Linked DNA regions of Rhinolophus ferrumequinum. The protein of the gene in region 1 interacts with the protein of each later gene in a pairwise test. Links are inferred from orthologs where the notes say so. Each region holds a gene or a part of one and is shown on either strand. Other genes may lie near its edges.

Evidence for each region. The genes of interacting proteins can lie anywhere in the genome.
Region 2: the proteins of DNPEP (region 1) and MPP1 interact in binary tests that used the Homo sapiens proteins (3 or more experiments, as listed by UniProt). The two-hybrid records come from large-scale screens. The link is inferred for Rhinolophus ferrumequinum from reciprocal best matches to the Homo sapiens genes DNPEP and MPP1.

The regions. Positions count from the first base shown.
Region 1 is NC_046291.1:16,123,127-16,130,483, reverse strand, and holds the start of DNPEP (aspartyl aminopeptidase), read right to left. Parts: upstream 3,006-7,357; 5' UTR 2,879-3,005; intron 2,581-2,878; exon of another isoform or gene 2,433-2,580; intron 2,355-2,432; exon of another isoform or gene 2,337-2,354; 5' UTR 2,331-2,336; coding exon 2,243-2,330; intron 2,158-2,242; coding exon 2,069-2,157; intron 1,961-2,068; coding exon 1,847-1,960; intron 1,592-1,846; coding exon 1,466-1,591; intron 1,245-1,465; coding exon 1,114-1,244; intron 829-1,113; coding exon 753-828; intron 636-752; coding exon 528-635; intron 1-527.
Region 2 is NC_046284.1:5,755,694-5,763,550, forward strand, and holds the start of MPP1 (55 kDa erythrocyte membrane protein), read left to right. Parts: upstream 1-4,699; 5' UTR 4,700-4,841; coding exon 4,842-4,943; intron 4,944-7,857. UniProt on the Homo sapiens protein: Essential regulator of neutrophil polarity. Regulates neutrophil polarization by regulating AKT1 phosphorylation through a mechanism that is independent of PIK3CG activity.

The DNA.
Region 1 (7,357 bases):
CTGCCTTTCCTGACCAGTTCCTGTGGCACAGGAAAAGGGGCTGAATGGTCACAAGAAAAGCTAAAGAAATAATGAGAAGAGGAGACCAGCGAAGACACAGAAACTTAGAATACATTCAAACAGGATCAGACATCCAGTCTTAGCAATCTCCGATTGTCAGCAACCGGCAGGGACTTGAGGACAGGCTCCAGAAAAAGGGTGGCCACATGGAGCCCTCTTGCCTTCAGAAGTTCAGAGCTAGGATGAGTCAAAGGAGACAGGAAAAACTAGCAAAAACTCCTGGGGATCTGTGGAAAAGCCAATTCCCAGGCCCCACCCCAGAGAGCCCCAGGAAGCAGGGCCGGTGCAGGAAACTGCCGTTTTTGAGAACCACTGTCCTGGAGACGAGGGGAGGAGTGTCTACTGGAAAGAACGGGGACGAGAGTACTGACGGACTGGCAGAGCTGACAGTGCTGCAGGGGACAGACTGGGGCAGGCTGGTATCCCCGAGGCTCCCCGCCTCACAAGTTCCTGCTGTCATTCCTCACCGCAGGCTGGGTGTCTGCCAGGCAGAGCTCCATTTCCACGATATCCTCAGGACTCAGCCCCAGATCGGCACAGAGAACAGACATGAGGACTGAGTGGTGCCGGTCATCCTGCAGGGCGGAAGGGTGCTGGGAGGAGGCTCTGCTCTTCTTCTCCTCTCCCCTTCTAAGGGGATCAGTCCCTTCCCCACCTGCTCACCCCTCCCTGTGAACAAGGGACTGTCTTACTGCAGCATTGAGGGGCCCTGGCTCAGGCGTCCCCTTCTCTAGCTCCTCCTGGACTGCTGTGGCAAGAATGGGAACTCTGTGGGGAGATAAGTGAGGAGGGATTGTGGGGAGGGCACAACAGGGTGGGGTACCCCTAAGCTCAGGTATCTCCTGATGGGGAACAGCCCTTGCCCTTTAATTCCCAATTCGCCCCCCGAATGGAAGAACTGTTGAGCACCCTTGGACATTAAGTGGGTCCCAAAAACAGAACCTGACTGTGGCTACCTGAGACAGTGATCTCCCAAGTCCCACTGGGGCCCATTCCGTCACCTGGGGCCACACCCCATCCCGCTCGGTCACCACAGCCCTCGCCCAGTCTCACAAGTGCATCTCCGTGTTGGGCCCAAAGTTCTCATTGATATTTCGCTGCAGATGGATGGCCAGGTGCGGGATGCGAAGAATGGGCCGGTCCACATGCACCAGCCGCTGCTCCAGACTGCCTGAGACAGGGCACTGTGGCCGACCAGCCAGGGTCAGCCCAGGGTGCCTCCCGATCAGTTAGTTAAAGCTCCCACTTCACACAGACTAACCGAGCTGGTCCTCTGACCTGGACTGCCCTTACCCACCCCCCTCCCTGTGGGGGAGGGCTCTCCACAGGTCCTCTGAAGGAAGGTGACAATCAATCTTCAGGTAGCTGAAGCTGAGAACCTCCCAGGTTCAACCCCAATTACTACCTTGATAATGACGCGTCCAGCCAAGGTCAGGTCACGGTCAAACCAGGTGCTCCAGATCCCACCACCATAGGTCTCCACACCAACCTGCAGGAAGCCCACCTGGCTGCGACGTGATCGCCGTTTTACCTGAGTGTGAAGACGGGGAATGGGAAGTCAGAGAAGGCTGCACGACACGATCTGTAAACGAGATAGACTATCCACAAGCGAAGTAACATAGAAGGAACACTGGTGACAGAAAGACCCAAAGTGTGAAGAAGGGGAAGACAAAACGTTTTCCTGCTCCAAGGAATAGATCCCCCAATGTGTACCTCCCAGCTCTCTTCTGCCCACTTCTCTCCCGCTTTGATGCCTCCCCCATCCCAGAACAGCCCAGTTCCTCACCCTGAGGCAGGGGCTGTCTGTGTGGGCCCCAATGAGGCTGAAACCGTTGCCAGGAACATACTGGCCTCCTACAGCAAAAGCGATGATGGTGGAGGAGTTCCTGGTCAGGAAGTACTGGGGGGGGGGGGGGTTGTTGAATTAGATTAGCCAGCCAGCTGGCACACGGGACTTTGAGTCCCTGCCCAGGGAGCTGCCTTTCGGTCTCTACCCCACCCCTAGTACCTTGCTCTCCGGCTTGATATCCCAGCTCTCGGTCTCCTTGAGTTCATGGAAGCCAGCCTGGAGGAGGCGGCTGCGGCACTCCGCAACAACTATAGAAAAAGAACCCTTTCACCGCGACAGAAGCCGGTAGGGGGCACACCCGCCCCACCCTCCTCCGCTGCCCTGGTCACTTACCGTGGAAAGGAGAGGGGCTCCTGTTTACGAACTTGAGGAGTTCTCGGGCCGCGGCCTGCACCGCCTCTTTGCGGGCCATGCCGCTCATGGCCACCTAGGAGAGGGGAGCGCTCTAAATAACACCGACTATCATCCAGGCTCCAGGGACTTCCACCCCAACCCCCCAAAGTGACCGATCCAAGGCTCTGACCTCTGTTTCTGCCCGTTTCCCCACAGAGAGACGCAGATGTCGGGCCGAACCTCACTCCGCTGAAAAGTTTGTGCCTTCCAGCCAAAGTATCATCACCCCAACAGTGCTCCCCGCCCAGCTCGTCCAAGACACCCCGCCCCCTAGTCCGAGCATCAGCGCCGCCGGCTAAGTCCCACCCCCACGTGTCCGCCAGGCTAGGACATGCCGGTCGGGTTCCCGACTCTGAGCTCCCAAACCGGCTCCTAACTCTGAACTGGTCTGAACCACGTGCGCGACCCCCTTCTGTAACTAAGGCCCCGTTCACCAGGGAATACCTCTCCTCCCCGCCCATCCCTTGTTCCCACCCCACCCCAGTCTCTTCCAGGCTACCCCTTTCCAACCCCAGGAAGGTCAGGTCACTCCGGGCCAGGCTTTCGATTTCGTTTTGGGTCGGGCTCGGCCCCCACCTCAGCGTGCTGCTTGGGCCCGAGCGGGCGCCGGGCCGGGTCTGAGCTAGAAATTCGAGCCGGGCAAGCGGTGGGCACGCACCTGCACGGCCCCGCACACCGGCTAGTATCCGCTCCCCTGGGCCCTGCAGTCGGCCCGCCCCCACTCCTGCCGCCGGGCCCGCCCCGCGCAGCGCCCCTCCAGGCCTCACCGTCTGCCCCGCCTCCGCTGTTCGCCCGCCCCGCGCGGGGCCTCGGCGTCGCCCCGCCCTCATCGTTCGCCCCGCCTCGCGCCAGGCCTAGTCTTCCTCCCCGCCCTCTCCGCGCCCTCAGCGGCGGTGGCGGGAGCCCTCTGCCGGCCGGGAGGTAGTAGGACAGCCACCAACCATCGCCCCCCACCCCTCTTCAAGGTCAGAAAGTCAGAGAAGAAACTCGCCCCACCAGCTCACCTGGTCGGACAGGTACTGTACAAAGTGCTCTTTCTCGCCTCAGGCACCCTGTGATAATGATAGGAACATGGCTAATGGTCATAGAGTGCTCACCATGAGCTTTAGCTGTACGATTAAGCTTAACGTGTTATCTCGTTTAATCTTCACAGTTGCCCTCTCAACTTTGTACTTTTACTGTCATTTTATGTGAACAAACCTAAACACAGAGATGACTAACCTAGCCAAGGTAGTAAATGGCAGAGGTGGGGTTTGGACTCAAGTAAGTCCAGGGGCCTGGAACAACCCACTCTCAGATCGTTTCTGGGCCTTTGTTTTTCTTGGTAAGTGTTAACGTTACATGGGAGGTCCCTGAGGGACAGAGAAGTTAATGACTTGCCTAAGATCACACAGCTGTCTGGAGGCATCTGGGATTTGACTCTGATACCCATCTGTATTCTTTCCACATCTTAAGACGACAGGGAAAAAAACAAGTTCCGTGTGTTCTTGGAGGCAATTCCAATATTTCTGTGTCAGAAGTGGTGAACGCAATTTTAAAGCCCCATGCAGCTGCCTAACCATAGATACTGGTCAGGGCTCTTGGTGGCCCCTAGGTCCTGGCACCAGGGGTGTTATCAACATTCCAGGGATGACAGATGGATGGAGCATTTATGTACTGGGGTGAGAATGTCCAGGGAGTGGGGTGTAGTGGGAAAGGTCCTACACCCCTCACTTCAAAGGAGTAGCTCTTTCAGGGGAGTGTTCAAGAATATACACACTAGGTGATGGGTTAAACGCTTGGCATTCCTTGACCAACTATTGAAATGCCATTATGTACAAAGTTTCAGTGCTGAGTGGGACATGCAGAGAACATTCTTGTCCAGCTACTGGGGAAGGGACACATTTGAGGATAGTGAAAAGAGCTGAAACAGGGGTACAATGTATAAAGAAAGGAGACTTAAAGAAATATCTTTAATGTTCCTCTGATCACAAAAACGGAGTACACGTTAATGTGAGAAATTCGAGTATCACCAAAACATGTACCTTAGAAAGTGAAAGTAAATGATAAATTGAACATCCATTCTTGATAAAACGAAACAAAATCATCTTACAAAACCAGAAAGAGGAAGGATAAAGGCTGTCTGCTAGAAATCTACAGCAGGCATTAGTGGGGAAATACAGAAGTGCTCTTATTCAAATCAGGCGTAAGACACTGGTGAGCTGTTGCCAGTAGTGGTCAGTGTGGACCTGCAGTCAGAGCCAGTGCCACAAAACAAAATAAACAATTACATAGTAGACGGAAAAATAAAATTTGTCATTATTTGTAGGTTATACTATAGCATTACCTAGAACCTCCAAGAAAATAGACTGACAGTTTTTTAGAACTGGTAGGAGGGGTGGCCTGATTTTCAAATCATTGGCTTGCCTGTACAGTAATCAACTGGAAAATATAATAGTAAAAACGTCCTATAAGAAATACTATTAGAAGTCCTAGGAGTGAACATATGAGAGACCCAGTCTCCCTGAAACTAGAGAAATGCATTTTGATTTGTCAGTATAGCAAAAATGAAAAAAAACTGGTAATACCAAGAGTTAGAGAAGGCTTGGGGTAATGCATGCCTTTATACTCAATTTCTGTGGGGTAAATAAACACTCCCTGTGGCAATTCCAGGTTGCCATCATGCACTAAACATGGAGTTGGGAAGAGATATTTAAAAGCATAGCATTATATAGATTTCCATCATAGACTTAAAATTGACATAACCTCAAGAGCATAGATTTATGGTAAGATAATTAGGAAAGTGATGATTTTTGAGTATTTATTATCTGTGTTTGTAATATGATTTATTTAATTGTAAGTTCATATAATTTAATTTTTTAATGATTGCTGTGTTTAACAACAGGATCACAAAATTCCTGGAAATTTGACAATCAGTTCCTATGAGCTGGTCCAACTTGGCTCTAGCACACAACTTCACCTGTACTCTACATCGTTATTCCTCAAACTGTGATTTGATGATCTGGGAACTTTTTAGAAATGCAGAACCCCAGCACTTACCCAATCCTACCCAATCAGAATCTGAGTCTTAACAAGATCCCCAGCTGATTTGAATGCACATTAATGTTTGATACACAGTGATTGAATACCATGTGGCCATAAAAAAATAATGTGAGGTCAATCTTTATGTATTATAGAAAAAAGCTCCAAATATATTTTTGAGTGAAAAAAAGCAATTTGCAGAATAATATTTATAGGACAAGAGCATTTAAGTAAAATTTACACAATGAGCTAAGTTTCTAAATTTTGTGTGTGTGTATATATATATATATATATATATATTTTTTTTTTTTTTTTTTTTCCTCCCCCAGGTTTGGAAGGCGAGTGGTCATCTGTGGACAAGGTTATGGTACTGGATATGAAGCTAACCAAAAAGAGTTTCTGAGACTCATTCTTGCCCTCAGCCTCCTGAGAAAATCTTGTCCCCAGTCCTTAGCTGATGTTTACAATGCTACCATTTATTTGTTTATCTTCTTGGTTTAACACGTGCCTGTGAGTTAACACTGCAGTCAGTGACACACACTTCAGTGTGAGTTGATTTGTTATGCATGTCCCTTCTGACTCATTACTTTATGAGAGAAGCTTCCTAAGTAGTAATTTGTCACATAATTATTAAGGGTGATTTAGGATACAAAAGACCAAAGCAATGCTGTAAGGAAAAGAAGGTATGAGGTATTTGTGTGTGTGTGTGTGTGTGTGTGTGTGTGTGTGTGTGTGTCCTGCTGCTATCTGCTAAAATGCGTGCAGAGAGGAGCTGAATCAGGTGATCTTGATTTCCTGATGCCATGACAGCTCTGAGTATCTCATTGCTGGTAGTTATCTTGGTGCTTTAAATGAATAAATAATTCGCTTCTGGGTATAATGATAGGAGCTTGCATAACACAGTATGTGTACTTTGTCCTCTGACAGTGTTGTTGGAAGAGCACTTTGGTTTCCAAAACGTGTCTTCTTCTCAAGTTCTGTTTTCCCAGCAAGACTGAACTGATTAAGAACGAAATCCCAGGATGCCTTGAGGTGAGTAGCTCACGCAAGATTACAATTTCCAACCAATTATGTTCTAGGAGGGAGGTTTAAAAAGTCCTCTATATGGTTACAAAAAAAAAAAAATGGGGCCGGCCCGGTGGCTCAGGCAGTTGGAGCTTTGTGCTCCTAACTCCGAAGGCTGCTGGTTCGATTCCCACATGGGCCAGTGGGCTCTCAACCACAGGGTTGCCAGTTCAATTCCTCAACTCTGGCAAGGGATGGTGGGCTCCGCCCCCTGCAACTAACAATGGCAACTGGACCTGGAGCTGAGCTGCGCCCTCCACAACTAAGACTGAAAGAACAACTTGACTTGGAAAAAAGTTCTGGAAGTACACACTGTTCCCCAATAAAGACCTGTTCCCCTTCCCCAATAAAATCTTTAAAAAAAAAAAAAAAAATGAAGCACCTCTATAGGTATTGATAGGGAGCAATTTCCACGATATACTAAGTGAAAAAACAAGGTGCAGAATAGCCCTTACGATATGCTGCCATTCGTGTGTGTAGACCACAGGCACACATTCTTCATTTTTTTTTTTTTAATTTGGGGAAGGAGAACAGGACTTTATTGGGGAACAGAGTGTGTACTTCCAGGACTTTTTCTTTCCAAGTCAAGCTGTTGTCCTTTCAGTCTTAGTTGTGGAGGATGCCGTTCAGCTTCAAGTTGTTGTCCTTTCAGTCTTAGTTGTGGAGGGCGCAGCTCAGCTCCAGGTCCAGTTGCCGTTGCTAGTTGCAGGGGGCGCTGCCCACCATCCCTTGCGGGATTCGAGGAATTGAACTGGCAACCTTTTGGTTGAGAGCCCATGCTCCAACCAACTGAGCCATCTGGGAGGCAGCTCAGCTCAAGGTGCTGTGTTCAATTTTAGTTGCAGGGGGCGGAGCCCACCATCCCTTGTAGGGCTCGAGGAATCGAACTGGCAACCTTGTGGTTGAGAGCCCACTGGCCCATGTGGGAATCGAACCAGCAGCCTTCGGAGTTAGGAGCATGGAGCTCTA
Region 2 (7,857 bases), on another chromosome or scaffold:
GGTGACTGGAGTCGCAGCTGAGCTGTGCCTTCCACAACTAGATTGAAGGCCAATGACTGATGGGTCTTGGAAAAACACACTGTTCCCCAATATTCCCCAATTTAAAAAACTGCATTAATCTGCTTCTAGTCTTTCTTGTGTTCCATCAGTCCATTTGTCTATTTCTGTGCCTATACCACAGTCTCTTAATTACCATAGCTTTATTACAGGTCTTGCCCTCTGGGAGGCCTGTCCCCTGACCATTTTCTTCTAGAATGCTTTGGCTATTCTTATTCTTTACAACTCCACAGATATTTTAAAATTTGTTTGCCAAATTTCACAAAACATATCTGTTGAGATTTTTATTGGAATTGCATTGAAGCTATAGGCCAATCTGGGGAGAACATATTCATAAAATTGAATCTTGTAAACCACAAACATGACTTATCGCTCCATTTTTTAGCCCTTCTTCACTGGACTCCAATGGTTTTATAATTGTCTCCATACACTCTGTATAGACAATTAGATTTATTCCTATTTGATCACTTTAAATGTCATAATGAATGGTATTTTTAAATTATATTTTCTCTGTGTTGCTGGTATATACAAATGCAATTGATTTCTGTATAATGACTGTAGCCAGCAACCTTACTAATAGAGCTTATAATTTTAATAATTTATCTGTAGCTTTTCTACAGATACAATAAGATATTATACGAAGACAATAAGTATCTGCAGATAATAACAATTTTGTTTCTTCATTCCCAATCTTTACACCTTTATACCTTTATTTTACCTTACTGTACCGAATAGGACTTACAATACAAGGTGGAAAAAATGTTGTGATAGAGGCATCCTTCTCTTGTTCAAAATCTTAAAGGAAATGCATTCGGCTTTTCATCACTAAATATATTTGTTGTAGGTTTTTTACAAATAACTTTTTAAAAATCAGATTAAGGATGCTTTCTTCTATGTTAAAAGTTGGTTTTTGTTTGTTTGTTTACTAGATGTTGAGTTACACTGAATATTTTTTTACCTACTGAGATAATAGGACTTTTCCCATTAATATGTTAATGTGGGACATTGGATTAATACATTTTCTAATGTTCAGCTAATCTTGAATTCCACTGTCTGAAGTTTTTGATTCAATTTTGTTACCTGCTGGATCTCATTCGTGGGGTTTTGTTTCCTTGTTTGTGTGTAGTGATATATTTTATTTTACTGTAAGCTGCATATTTTCTTGGCAAATATGTGTGGAAATGAAGGCTTGGTATTAATGAAGACTTCTCCAGAAAAGACATATTTCTGCCAGGCACATTGGGGATCTATTAGTCAAGAACTCACTTGATATTCACTTAAGCTTTGCTAGGCCACCCCAATAGTGTGACTGTCGGCTACCAACCATTGCAAGGGCCAATCTATACTTATAAAATGTCAAGGGACAGGCTTCTTTTCAGCTCCTTGTGGTAGATTCAATTAGTCCTGAAGGAAACAGGTGAGTGGCTGCCACTGGTTAGGGGAAAGGGGATTGGGAATAATTATGGGTATGAGGTTTCCTTCGAGGGTGATGAAAATGTTCTGAAATTAGATAGTGGGGATGGTTGTACAACTCTGTGATTATACTGAAAACCACTTGAATTATTCATGGGTAAATTTTATGGAAAGAGAGAAAGACAGCAACTATTTCTTAAGTATTAATAACAATCACTATAGTTTCTTAACATATAAAAATGGGAAAACTGCGCCCAAAACTCCTCAAATTCTATGTGACCAGACCTACAGAGGCTGTGACCCCTGTCACTTCTGAACTCAGCACTGAACTGTGGTGTGTGGGATCTGACTCTCTAAATTACTACCAGGACCCAGGTAACACAACTCAGAGGTGTGGGAAAATTAACACCCAGTTGGGTTAACTTCGACCAGTAAGAGATAAGGCCAAAATCTGCTGGCAGATCAATTTTTTTCCTTTCCTTGACAGTTTCAAGATGCCATGGTTCTATACAGCATATCTGGAGGCATCCAGAGAGACTGAGAAACAAGCTGTATTTTCTTGAATAGCAGTGGCAAGCTCAGGAGCACACCAATTTATATTTTCTTTCCATCCTTCTGTGCCTCATTTTCCCTTTCCCCTCACTCTTACACCCATTGGATTGCATCCTACAGTGAAGTTTTAGCACATATGTGTTGCCTCAGGCTCTGTTTGCTAGCGAACCCAGAAACTAATCTTCCAACTGTATAATCTTGTCCTAGGCCCTCCCTCAGAGGAGGCCTGCTTCATGAGGGAGGTGGGGGAAATGAAGAATGGTTTGGCTCAGGAGAAGGAGCAAGGAGAGAGGAGAGAGAGAGAAAAGAGAGATTGCTGGCTCAGACGGTAGATGCATGTTCAATTTTAAAAGATAATGGAAAATTGTTTTCTTAACTGTCAAGTACCAGTTTTACTCACACCAGCAATGTTCAAGAACTCATATGGATCACACGCTTTTCAACAGTTAATATTGTTATACATTTTCATTTTGATAATTGAATGAGTGTACAGTGGTATTTCACCATAGTCTTGCTTTTTATTTCCCTTATTACTAATGAGGTAGGATATCTGTTCATATACTTATTGGTCATATGTATTTCTCCATCTGCGGAACGTTTATTCATGCTTTTTACCCATTTCTCTACTGGATTGTTTGTGTTTTTCTTATTAATTTCTATTTATATTCATAATAGGAATCCTTTGTCACTTGTGTATTTTTTTTAATTTTATTTTTTAAATTTATTGGGGTGACAATTGTTAGTAAAATTACATAGATTTCAGGTGTGCAATTCTGTATCACATCATCCATTATGTTAAGTGAAATAAGTCAGACAGAGAAAGATAAGTACCATATGATCTCACTTATTTGCGGAATCTAAAGAAAAGAATAAGTGAATGAACTAATCAGAAACAGTTTTGGAGACAAAGAGGAAAAACTGAGGGTCACTTGTGTATTTTGAAAATCATTTCTTCCAATGCATATCTTGTCTTTTGTGCTTTTTACGTTGTCTTTTTTTATTAATTAACTATTTATATTTTTTGTACTGAGTTTGAAATCCAGTACGTATTTTACACTGCAGCACATCTCAATTCATACCAGCACATTTCTAGTGTTCAACAGCCGCACGTGTCTAGTGGCTACTATACTGGAAAGCACAGCTCCAGATCAAGAAAACCAGATAAAGGCTCTCCTTCCACCCCCCTCAAGTCCACCCCTCCGTTCTACTTCCTGTCTGAGGACCCACTTCTTTCTCAGGTGGCTGCCTTGGAGAATGGCTTCTGGTTTCTTTTTCTTTTTTTTTTTTCCTAATGTTTCACTTTTTTTTTTATTAGTTTCAGGTGCACAAGACAAAGTAATACTTAGACGTTTATCATTTATCTCCCTCACACTGTGGATCCCCCACCCCCCATCCACTATCTCTCTGACATCGCACCGAGCCATCCCATTTCCACTGTCTCCACTCCCAATGCTGTACTCCGCCTCTTGTAAGTGTATACATACACATATATACATACATATATATAATATTATAGTTGGCATTCATTATTGTTCAGCTTCAGGTGTACAGTGCAGTGATCTTACATTGTCTTTTGATGAGTGAAAGTTCTTAATGCTACAGTCAAAAATCAATATTGTTTTATAGTCAACCATTTGTCTGCATTGTTTAAGAAATCTTTTTTCTATCCTAAAGACTAAAAGTTCTTTGCTGATATTTTCTGTCAAGAGCTTTAAAGTTGTGTTTTTGACATTTAAGTCCTTAATCTGGAATACATTGTGTGTGTGTGTGTGTGTGTGTGTGTGTGTGTGTGTGTGTGTTTGCCTTCCTTCTCCTTTAGGGTAAGCTTGGGGAAGGGAGCTATCACTCATATGAATTCAGCCTCTTTGCAGGCAAAGTGGGTGATCTGGCTCCAAACTCTTGCCCTTGGATTTTCTCCTGTTAGCTGAGTTACTGGAAGGTCCCAAATAGAGTACATAGAGTTATGAACTGCTTGTAATACTGTGAGGTTACTAGCTTGGCTTAAAGGGGGCCAGGTTTTCATCAGGTAAAGGTGTCTACAGACGCCTTAGTGGACAACCCTGAGTCCTGTAAGTCCAGTAAAAGTTTTGTTCAGAAAGACTGCTGTTTAACGCCACCAAGGTGTTAGGATGCTAAGGAATCCTACTCTGGGATTCCTAAGGAATCTCGGCTCCCTTTGCTCCCACTGATCCCTCAAAAATTTTGTGGCATTAACAGCAGGAGGTGTGGACTAAGACAAGGAGAAACAGTTTGCTGTTAGAGGCAGTCAGGTCTTCCGTCACTGAACAGCAATGTAAATGACGAGAGTACCAACAGCACAGGAGCCTTAAAGGCATTTTCGCAATGTCCTGTACCCGCATGCATTTATAGGTAGAGCCTGGAGTTGAAAGGGCGGCCGTCGCAGCCCCTGGAGACTTCCCTCCCATCCCCAGGAATTCGGCCAGGGTGTGGGCCGTGCACTCAACCGGCCCAAGGCTGGGGGCTGCTCCGCTGTTTTGGCGCGGTTTTCTTTATTCCTCGGAGCCCCTCTGGGATTCAGCCTCAGGGGCCGAGACAAGAGCTGCGCCTCCTAGTGGTCCTCAGGAGCCGGGTGCCGGGAGCCACGGGGGTCGGGCGTCGGCGGGTCCAGGGGCGGGGCGAGGGTGGCAGTGGGCGGGGCGAGGGCGGCAGTGGGCGGGGCGCCTGCGGGGTGGAGACGGGCCCTGCCGCACCGCCTCCGCCGCCTCCGCCGCCCCGCAGGCCCGGAGCCCTTGCACTCCAGCCTCCGTCCGACCCCTAGTCTCTGCGTCCCCGCGTCTCTGCGTCCCGGCACCGACAAGATGACGCTCAAGGCGAGCGAGAGCGAGAGCGGGGGCAGTATGCGTACGGCGCTCTCCGACCTCTACCTGGAGCACTTGCTGCAGAAGCGCAGCCGGCCGGAGGTGAGCGGGCCCCGGGGGTCCCCAGATCGCGGGGTGCGGGGCCAGGACTCGGGTCCAGGTGGCGCCACCCGCTGCAGGACCTCCCCTGGCTGCGGCCTTGTCTCCGGGGGTCCTGTCCCCAGGGGTCCTGTCCCCGGGGTGAAGGCCGAGGCGGCCAGCAGGGTGTGTGGACTTTGGGGGACGGTGGGTGGTTGCCCCCAGCAGCCCTTTTAGGTGGGAATCCGGAGAGGCCGAGGCCTGGACAGAGTGCTTATTAAGGTCAAGGAAACTTCTTCGTGGACGGAAATCAGGGTAGCAGAAAGACTTGAAGGAGCAGATCCAAGAGTAGGTCTACTTCGTGGGTGTAGAAATGCTTGTGTTTGGTCAGCAGAAAAGGTTGTAAAAGCCAACTGTCCCTCTAAAGTGCTCACTCACTGTCCCTCTGCATATAGGTAGGCAGAACCCCTTGTGCTAGTCTGCAAATGCAGTAGCCCTTGTGTATTTGTGGGTAGACAAGGAATGCAGGGATTTCAGAGGTAATTCTGCCCTCCTGATTCCTGTGATGGGCTGGAAAGACCTGTTAACCTCTGTCCTCAAAGATGCCACAGAGAAGGTTGGGCATTTTCTTCTTATCTCTCATAGTTCTGGGTGTGGGTTGGACCCAGCAAGGTAAGGCTGTTGCTCAGGGTCTCAGGCAGGGGCACAGCCACCAGAAGGCTCACTTAGTACCTCACTGTCTGGAGGCTGAGGCTGGCTCTGAGTTGGAGCTGTCAGCCACAGACCAGCAGCCCCTCCATGTGGCCTAGCCTTCCTCACAGCATGGTGGCCAGGTACCAATGACTGTCCACAGAGAGAGAGGGATGTGGGGAGAGAGAGCCAGGCAGATGTTTTGTTGCCTTTGATGACCCAGCCTCAGAAGTCGCAGCGTCACTCTCTTTCCTAGACTGCAAGATCTTCCAGATCACGCCTATTTCACACTCACTGTTTTTATTTTAAATGCCTTATGAATGAGTCCTCAGAAAGGTTTGCTGAATTAATAAATGACTGAGAGAAGGACATTAAAGATTTAGCATAACCTTCTGCCTTCACAGGTGAGGAAACTTAAGATCCCCGAGGCAAAGCAAACAGTAGAGCTGCAGACTCCGGGCTGGGTGGCATTATCTCAAGGAAAACACTGATAAACATGAGAACTGAGGCTGGAGTTTGTATCTGCAGATTCCAAGCTCAGTGTACTCTCTGCTTTGCCACATCACCACTCCTTTACACCGCCCTCAGTGCCGTGTTCACACCTGTCTATCGTTTCAAATCGCGATTGCAATAGTCTAGGATTAAACGATCTGTGGCATGAACAGGTGGGGAAGACACTTGTTATTCAGATGACAAGACAAAATTGGAAGTCATGGAGTGTAGACCCTAGAAGAGAACCAGGGTCTAAAACTACTTGGTTCCCCGGAAGCTTGGCTGTGTGATATTTTTTCTGCCCTATGATCAGCTCACTTGGCTGAGCCTTAGTTTTTTTCAAAATAATCTCTTTATTAAATTTACTTTTGGCAGCTTTATTGAGGTATCATTAACATACATGTAATTCATGAATTAAATTGTGCAGTTCGATGGATTTGACAAATGCATCCAGTCATGTAACTGTCACCAAAGTCATGATATAGAATATTTACATCACTCCAGAAAGTTCCCTCTTGGTACTTTACAGTCAGTCCCCCTGCCCTGGAAATCTGGAAACCACACTGCAAATGGATCTTCTTTCTGATACTATCCTTTTGCCTTTTCAAGACTGTCTTGTAAATGGAATCCTACTATGTGCCGTCTTTTTTCTAGCTGGCTCCTTCCAGTTGGCATAGGCTCAGCCCCACCTATAACTCCATGACCAGACCTTGGGTAAACCTTACGGGCAGGTTGAGATATTGTCTACCTTTTTGAAAGAGGCCCTATCACTCCAGGAGTTATGTTTGTGGGTACACCGTCTAAATAAACAGCAGTTTCTGTGAGGCTGTGAGTTTATCCTAAAATACTGGATGCAGTGTACGGGTTAGCCCGTTTATTTTGGTGTTATTAAAGGACTTGAAGAAGCTGAAATAAAAAAAAAACTTATTAAATTCCTGAATGAAATAGTATCCAGACCAGCCAAGGTGTGGACATCGGAGGGAGAATCTCCACCTGGTGACTGCTGTCTTGACCCCACGAACCTGCTGATTTTTATTTCCTCAGGTTCACCTTCCCTTTGGGGCTCTAACCGTCTTTGCTGCCAACACTAGGCTCTGCCTCTCACTCGCTGTGTGGCCTTGGGCAAGCTGCTGAAGCTCTCTGTGCCTTAGGTGTCTCTTTGTGAAATGGACCTGCTAGGAGGGTTGTGGTGATGTTTACCCGAGGTAACGCTTGTCAAGGACCTCAGATCTCACTGGGACATTGAACCACATGGGGACATCCAACATCTCTCTAAGAGATGTCTCCCTATCCTGGCAAGAAGCAAGAAAACCTGTGAGGAAGTTGTTGGCTGTAATGGAATTCATAAAATTATGTTGCTGCAGGCTTCGTTTAAAGGGATTGCTTTCTGTAAAAGTTCTAAAGACTCAAAACCCAAAGTTTCTCTTTTGACTGTAGTCCACATGTGATATTAAAAAAGTATTGTCAGTCGATCATTTTGCAATAGGTTTGAGCTGTAGCCTGTTTCCTGTGTTTAAGTAGTTCCTTCCTTGGAGAAACTGATTTCATAAGCTCTCTCTGGCCTTATTCTTTACAGTAGTAGCCATTAGTGCACATAAAATTGGTTCTAAAATTCCTAATGCTACTTTTCAGTCTTATTTGAAGCAGCACTTTTCCACGACCTGAAGCAGCAGGTCGAGAATCCCTGAAAATTCACTTGGCCCTATCTCACATCAAAAAATGACCTAACAAATAAGTCAGGCCCCAGGTGAGTTTC